2 linked regions of the Nothobranchius furzeri genome follow. Each later gene encodes a partner of the first gene's protein in a complex. Links are inferred from orthologs where the notes say so. Each region holds a gene or a part of one and is shown on either strand. Other genes may lie near its edges.

Region 1 (3,814 bases):
ACTGGTCCTAGTTATTTTTCATTCTTATCTCAAGTGTGGCTTAATCTAATCAATTCACACTTTTGGACCAGAATATTGCTTATAAGTTACAACAAAGCCAGGTCACCATAAACCTTTCATTTCAATGCCTCCTTTATTGTCCTCAAACGAGTGTAGGTCGTGTTGATGTTCACTCTAGTTGTTGCTCTTTGCTCTGCCTCCAAAGCCATCATTCTCTTACTTTAATTTCCAGGCTCCGCCATGATGCCAACAAAAAAGTAAACTATTTCATCTTGCACTATTTATTGACGGCCGGTGAAACTGAAATGGCTAACAGCTAGCCTTTATATGAGCTACCAGCACAGTAGACGTTTATTGTCGTAAAGCAGGTAGTACCCCTACCGGAACCACAAAATATTTAAGAGCAGTTTCTGGTCAGCAGAGGGCTGCAGAGTGCTGTCAAAATTTTATTTATTTAAAACATAAACTATGTCAGGATTTTTTTTTTTCTGCTTTATACATGCATGAGAGGTGCAGTATTTCTGCACATTTTTTTGGTTGACAGATGTGTTTCTGTATCTTTATCCAGGCTGCTGATGGCGGGAAGTCTGCCTCCCAGCAACAGCAACTGCTGGTGTCAGCCAGCCAGGCGGCAGTAATCAGCGCAGCTAAGAACGCCGGCACAGCCAGCGGCGGCAGTCTGTCCAAGGCAGCTGTGGCCTCTTTGGTCAAAGGAGCTGGAAGCTCCGCCTCCCCAAGTAAGAGTGCAGGAAGTTCAGCCGTTGCCGCAGTGATGGTGGCAAAAGGTGTCACAAATTTGCCCGTCATGAGCACGTCCAAAGGAGCTGGAGCTGGGACTGTGGTGGGGGTGTCCAAAAGCAGCAACACTCCATTAGTTTCTGCGGCGTCGTTAGTCAGCGGAGTGGCAGCTGGAGCAGGAAAAACAAGTGCTGCACTGTCAGGTGTGGAGGAACACACCACAACCTACAATCATATGTTTATGCACAACACATGGGTGTGCAAATGATCTCACCTTGTGGTTTTTGGCCAGGTATGCTGAAGATCCAGTCTGCTGGTTCCAGCTCCCAGCAGACCGTTTTAACCATCCCTGCCACCCAGCTGAAGCAGCTAGGGGTTGGAACTGGGTCTGCTGGACTGCAATCCATATTCATGCCTGTCAGTAAAGGTAAGCCCACTCCATGAACACAGAATAATCTCGCTAGTGTTGAAGTTAAACAGAATCCCAAAACTGATCCTGGATTACTTCTTTAGTTGTTCTGAACTTGATGTAATTTTAAAATAAATCTGAGATGCGCTCCATCATCTGGAAATATCTTATTGTTACCAATATCCTCTCATCTCATTTTTTGTCTTACTGTTTACCTAGCAGGACATTGACCCTTCTGTGTGTGTGTGTGTGTGTGTGTGTGTGTGTGCGTGCGTGCGTGCGTGTGTGCGTGCGTGCGTCCGTCCGTCCGTCTGTCTGTCTGTCTGTCTGTCTAAAGGCCCAGTCTCCAATACTCCTCCCTCCTTCTCCTCTTCATCCACTCCTCCTGGAGCAGCTGGAGCCTCCTCAGGTCTTTCCAGCCAGGTCTCCTCCTCCCTTATCCCGCCTTTAGCACAAGGTGAGAGGGGTCCATTGTCACTCCACCCTCTCCTCTCTTTCTTCCTAACTCCATTTTTATGTTTGAGCTGTCAGAATCAAACATTGGCCACTGAAGACGAAGCAAATAGTTTGATAGTTGTGTTTAAAGCTGATGAACATAATCCAAACCATTAGAGTCTTATTAATGGGACATTTAGCTACTTTTTCAATCATTTTCTTGAGCCACTATGTGCTAAAATGACCCTTTACATGGTTAATGAAATGACACCCAGCCCCCATCGCCACCTGTGACCAGAGTATTCCACTTGCAACTTCAGACTGGCGGGCAGCTCTGTTGGGACTTAGACAAAAGGAGTTGACATACCTGGTGCTGCAGTCTGGTTCCAGCACATTTCCTGGATGTTTTAGATTATGAACACATCTGATTTGTGTAATTTAGTGATGAATAATAATAATAATAATAATAATGCATTGAACTTATATAGCGCTTTTCTAGACCCCCAAAGACGCTTTCACACACTCACATTCACACACTGCTAGTGATGATAAGCTACTTGTAGCCACAGCCGCCCTGGGGAGGTTTGACAGAGGCGAGGCTGCCATTTGGCGCCGTCGGCCCCTCTGACCACCACTAACACAGGCAAGTTGGGTGAAGTGTCTTGCCCAAGGACACAACAGCAGGATACCCCTGGTGGGAGCTGGAATCGAACCCATGACCCTCCGATCATGAGGCAACGCGCTCTACCACCTGAGCTACTGCTGCCCCAAATGAATGAATGACTCCTGTAGATACTAAGGAAGGCTGGGGGGAAAGCGAGGAGATAAGTTTTGCTTTCAGTTCTATAAATGGACTCTAGGGGGTGCCAAAAGCAAGCCAAGACTGCCTAGTTCCCTTTAAAATATAAATTACATGTGTTGATTTGTGATGAAATAGTTCAGAGTAATAATCTTTTATACAAGTCTAAATATGTTTGTGATTCCTAATAACATTTATCTCCCCCACATATACACATCTGCTGTCGCTCTCCGCTGCCACAGTGAAAACAGAACCAGGTGCCGTCGCAGCTGGTCCGTCGCCCCTGGCGACGGCTGCTGCTCCAGCCCCTGTCCATGTTGCTTCTGCAGCCACCACCGTCAAACAGGAACAAGGCACAGATAACTCAGCACACTGCCTCATTAAGTAAGAGCAACGCCGCTGTCTCTTTAAACACAAATGCAGATGATGTTCTGATGTTAATCCAAAGCTCTTTCCTCTCAGCACTGAGCACATCGAAACCATGATGCAGCTGCTGACGGCTGTGGTGAAGAAGTTTCCTCTAATTGTGCCAGAAAAAAGTAAATACAATTAGATTTCATATTTATAAACCGACTGAAGACACTCTTTAAATGTAACGCTGCTTTATTTTTACATAGCTGAAGACTCCCATCCCTTTTGTGCCTCCTCAGTAGAACAGTATTATTCTTGGAACATTGGCAAACGCAGAGCGTCAGAGGTAACCTTTTGATTTTGTTTTGATGAAATCTTATGTCCACCTCTCACCGTTATCTTCAGTTTTACTCGTCTTCATGCTGTACTAGCCTCGTGTTTCATCAACATAGTAAATGATTCATTGCTGTTCTTGTGGAGAAGAGAAGTATGACCGTGTTTTTACTCACTTTGATGGAGTACACGACGTGATGATTCGCCGCGGCTGCAGTTTTGCATTTTAATCCGTCTTCCAGCTGCATCTCTTCTCTCTCTAGTTGGATGTGTGTTTCTGCCACATCATCTCTTTGACTAATACTGTATTCTGAGCCGTATGTGGGATACCGTGAATATTAATGCTTATTCATGCATGTTGCTAAATAGTTTAAGCAGCGAGGGTCTACAATGCTTAAACTTTGTGATCGGACTCTTCCGAGTTAAAATGAGCTGATCTTTGGCCGTCTCTGTAGCTTCAGAGAGCGGTGGCGGTGAAGCGTCTGGTTCAGGACGTGCTGGACCGCTCGCCCCGCCTGCAGGCCCTGACGCCCCCGAAGACCAAGGAGGTGGTGCAGTGGTGCCGGCAGAGGGGCTACACGCCTCCCGACCCTGAACCTCAACACAGAAACGAAGACGAGTCAATCGAGGACATTCTCACGCAAATCGACAGCGAGCCTGGTAAGTTTTGTTTTTGTGAACGAGTCCTCTGTAGGGAGACCTGCTGGGCGAGTTTTTGTGTGTGTGTGTTTTGGATTTCAGCAGCTCTG
Region 2 (3,914 bases), on another chromosome or scaffold:
TTAGCCGAAAAAAGGTAAAACGTCATAAAAAATGCTGAAAAAGCACCACAACCATCTTTTTTTGTTCTGTTACCAAGAAACCTTCAACGATGGCTGCCTGCAGCTCATTTCCCCACCAGCAGGGGCCGCTGTGGCTCATGGGAGTGAAAATAAACAGAAGAAGAAGAATAACTTCCGGTAGTGCAGACGAGGAGCCTGTTAGCATCTGGCTAACTGAAGTCAGACCCAACGTGATGTCGGCAGCCTCCAAAGTGGTTCTGGGTGTTTCTGTGCTTCTGACGCTGGGTACCGTGGCAGCGGTCCATTTAAACCAGGCCTGGGATCGAGAGGTAAGTGTGCGAATCGAGCCGGTCCAGCAGCAACCGAACTACAGGACATTTAACCTGACCTCTGACCCAAAACCAGCGTAAATAATTTTCCTGTAAGGAAGTGATAGAAATAAACTGGCTGGCAGCTCACAATGTCCCGGATGTGAGATGATTACCCATAATTCACTGTTGCACAAACAGCTCATACCCCAGCTGTCAACATGGTGGTGGAGGGCTAATGGCCTGGGCCGGTTCCACAGGAGTCCAGCATCCTGATATCTAACACACACACACACACACACACGAGTCTGTGACAACACAGCAGCAGATCAACAACAGAACCAAGGTGCAGCGGTCCAGCCAGAATCTAGACCCGAACTATGTGAGAAACGGACCCATATTTGTGTTACTTCTGCTCTGCAGGAGGAGCCTCTTTGTGCTTATGGTTCTGAGTCTCTTGTAGGCCCTTTTATCTTGCACTTGGGTTCAGATTAAAGCCGACGTGACTCCGCAGCAGGGCCTGTTGTCACGTGTTGTTTTTAATGACCCTGCAGAGGCTGCGTGAGGGTGTGGTTCAGGATCTGGAGCGGGTGGAGAGGAAGAAAGAGAACCTGAGGCTACTGGAAGAGCAGAGGATTCTGACCAGACACCTGGAGGAGGAGCGGAGGAGAGGAGAGGAGAGGCTTCAGTCACAGGACACCTGAGGCAGGTCAGGAAACATGGTCATTCAGCTGTGTTTGCTTGTATAGAACAAAGATGACATGAAGGACCAGAACTTCTCTGTCTGGTTTGATCCAGTTTGAACCTATTGTTGTATCTGAAATGTCCACATGGGTCTTCTGGATGGACAAATAAGAGAGTGCCTCTCTGACCCATGTAACCTCCACAGGTGCCCAGAGATGGACAGCAGCAGTGAGCAGCTGGCAGCGGCAGAGGACGAGGCGGCTGGAACATCCGCCTCTGAGGGTCTGGAGGAGGGCGAGGTAGAGGGGGAGACTCTGCTGATCGTAGAGTCTGAGGACCAGGGCTCCGTAGACCTGTCCCACGACCAGAGCGGGGACTCTCTGACCAGCGACGTGGGCGAGGAGACGGATGGAGGCTGGGCCTGTGAGGACATGTCCTTCTACTGCGAACGTTGCCACAAGTGGATCCCTGCAGGTCAGCCAGTCACAGCACAGCATGGAGGACCGTGTGTGTGTGTGTGTGTGTGGTTGCTGCGATCCTAAAGGGTTTTGTCTTTCTGACCCGGTTCTGGTCCAGCTGAGCTCCACGGTGACCAGCCCAGTTACCTGAAAGGAGACAACTTCTTTAAGTTCTTCTGCTCCGAGTGCTCTGAGGACAGGAAGGAGAGCTTTGAGAGGATGAGGCTCACCTGGCAGCAGGTATGACCCAGACTCAGCAGGGCAGGTACCACACACACACACACACACACACACACACACTTCCTGCTTGTTAAACAGGAACATCCTGTGTTCAGGTGGTGATGCTGGCCATGTACAACCTGTCTCTGGAGGGGACAGGCCGGCAGGGTTACTTCAGGTGGAAGGAGGACATCTGCGCTTTCATTGGCCGCCACTGGAACTTCCTGCTGGGGAACAGGTGAGTTAGAAGTCATGCCGGAGACCCTGGCCAATCAGAGTTTAAGGCTTCCCTTTCAAACCTGAGCTGTTTGACCCACTTTAAACATCCACAGTTGCACAGATGATGGAGGGAAGATGGGTTTCCAGGGCCAGGAAACATCCCAGCCCCGATCGATCCCGTTGAAAGAATCATCACAAGTTCTGCTGAATCTTTAACTCGGATCAGTGAAGATGCTAATGATGTTTGCAGGAAGAAGACGTCAACGTGGTGGAGCACAGTCGCTGGCTGCCTTTCTGTCGGAAGTCCCACCTTCTTCCGCTCTGGTGCGCAGGAGTTTGGAGAACCAGGCTGGTGGAAGCTGGTCCAGAACAGACCTCCCACCTTGAGACCGGATGGGGACAAATCCATCGCTAAGGTCAAAGGTGAGATGCATTGTCACAGTTATGTTCAGGTGAGAAAGCTCCGCCCACTGATCCATTGTGTCGTTCACTCACAGTCTCTAAACCGGTGATGGACCCGATTATTACGGTGGAAGGTCTGAGGAAACGTGGAGCCAGGAACCCGGTGGAGAACGCCATGCAGCTGAAGGAGAAGCGTTGCCGCACACAAGAGGCCAAAGACATCCGCCGAGCCCAGAAGGAGGCAGTGGGAGGCTACGTTGACCGCAGCTCCTCCTCCACTCCCGTTAAGCTAAGCGGAGGCCGCGGTGGGGGTGCCAGTCGCCGGTCTGAGGTGGTCCTGGAAAAAGGCGAGGTCATCGAGTTCTCATCCCTCAGCTCCTCGGACCGAACACCGCTCACCAGCCCATCTCTGTCTCCATCGCCCGACTTCTCCGCTCCGGGAACGCCTGCCTCTCATTCAGCCACACCCAGCCTTCTTTCGGAGGCGGACCTAATTCCGGACGCCATGCCGCCACAGGCATTATTCCACGGTGAGTCATTTCATCCTCGTGCTGGGCTGTGGTGTCAGCTGTGATGTCATCTCCTGTCTGCCTCCCTCTTTCAGATGACGATGAGATTGAAGGGATGATTGACCCAGGGGTGGAGTACATCCCTCCTGCTAGCACCAGCCATGTTGGCCGTAAGAAGCTCCGCCCAGCGGCGCCATCCCACATCAAACGGGAAGCTGAGAGTGAAGACGATGATGGCCACCAGAACGAGGACTCCCTGGAAGAGCCGGCAGAGGCCCCGACTCTTTCCTGCCGGGGTCCGGTTGGCGTCAGAGCAGCCGAGCGGCGGAGGGCGACTCATCCTGAGAAATCTAACGAAGTGGCTGTCCTTCGGGATCCGGGCCTGGTCCCGCTCAGCCTGTACGAGGAGCGGCTGCTGCTGCTGCGGCTGGACGCCTGCCCGCTGGCGCTGGCCGTCACTCCACATGCCAAACGCCTCCACAGGAAGCTGCTGGTCCGCCAGACCAAACGCCAGAGAGGGCTCCCCCTGCTAGACGTTGACCGAGCAATCAGCGCCACCCTCAGCCTGGTGGGAGGCATCTATGATGCGCAGGAGGCGGGGGCACATGTGGAAGGCGGGGCTAAGAAGAAATACTGCAGCAGCCGCCAGGAGCAGCGGATTCTGGATCGTTTTCAGGTCTCTGCTTGTCTCCTCAACTCCAAACCTTTAGAAGACATCCATATTTCACATCAGCAGCACGTTCCAGCTGTTTCTCACTCGACCTTTGACCTTTTTGTGCCGTTTCTCCCTTGAAAGCTAACACCATCGGCTCAGATTCAGCTTTGGTCTCTGAACCCATCTGTGTGTTTACAGACCAGCGTCTCCAGCCGAAGGCGTGTCCAGCACAGCTCCGTGTCCTTTTGGCACCGTCTGATGGGAGCTGAAGGCAGTTTGGACAAAAGCATCAAGAGTCCGTACACGTCCCGCCTCCTGAAACCGTTCATCAGGTAGGCCAGTCTGAAAACTTTGTCTTACCTGCTGGAGTACGAAAGCCTTACAGGTGGCGCTCCAGAGGTGCCCAGGCCCAGGTATCACGTAGAAGCTGTGTGCTCCACAGGAGGGATTACGAGAGTCG

Evidence for each region.
Region 2: yeats2 (region 1) and kat14 share a complex: the UniProt entries of both Homo sapiens proteins name them as parts of the ADA2A-containing complex. The link is inferred for Nothobranchius furzeri from reciprocal best matches to the Homo sapiens genes YEATS2 and KAT14.

The regions. Positions count from the first base shown.
Region 1 is NC_091751.1:55,945,895-55,949,708, forward strand, and holds part of yeats2 (YEATS domain-containing protein 2), read left to right. Parts: intron 1-568; coding exon 569-941; intron 942-1,030; coding exon 1,031-1,165; intron 1,166-1,484; coding exon 1,485-1,604; intron 1,605-2,623; coding exon 2,624-2,765; intron 2,766-2,843; coding exon 2,844-2,920; intron 2,921-2,998; coding exon 2,999-3,078; intron 3,079-3,520; coding exon 3,521-3,725; intron 3,726-3,814. UniProt on the Homo sapiens protein: Chromatin reader component of the ATAC complex, a complex with histone acetyltransferase activity on histones H3 and H4. YEATS2 specifically recognizes and binds histone H3 crotonylated at 'Lys-27' (H3K27cr).
Region 2 is NC_091746.1:29,633,346-29,637,259, forward strand, and holds the start of kat14 (cysteine-rich protein 2-binding protein), read left to right. Parts: upstream 1-1,207; coding exon 1,208-1,466; intron 1,467-1,568; coding exon 1,569-1,690; intron 1,691-1,785; coding exon 1,786-1,907; intron 1,908-2,138; coding exon 2,139-2,311; intron 2,312-2,385; coding exon 2,386-2,820; intron 2,821-2,894; coding exon 2,895-3,475; intron 3,476-3,652; coding exon 3,653-3,786; intron 3,787-3,896; coding exon 3,897-3,914. Other genes in the region: protein PET117 homolog, mitochondrial, read left to right, coding at 90-329, 863-1,012. UniProt on the Homo sapiens protein: Component of the ATAC complex, a complex with histone acetyltransferase activity on histones H3 and H4. May function as a scaffold for the ATAC complex to promote ATAC complex stability. Has also weak histone acetyltransferase activity toward histone H4.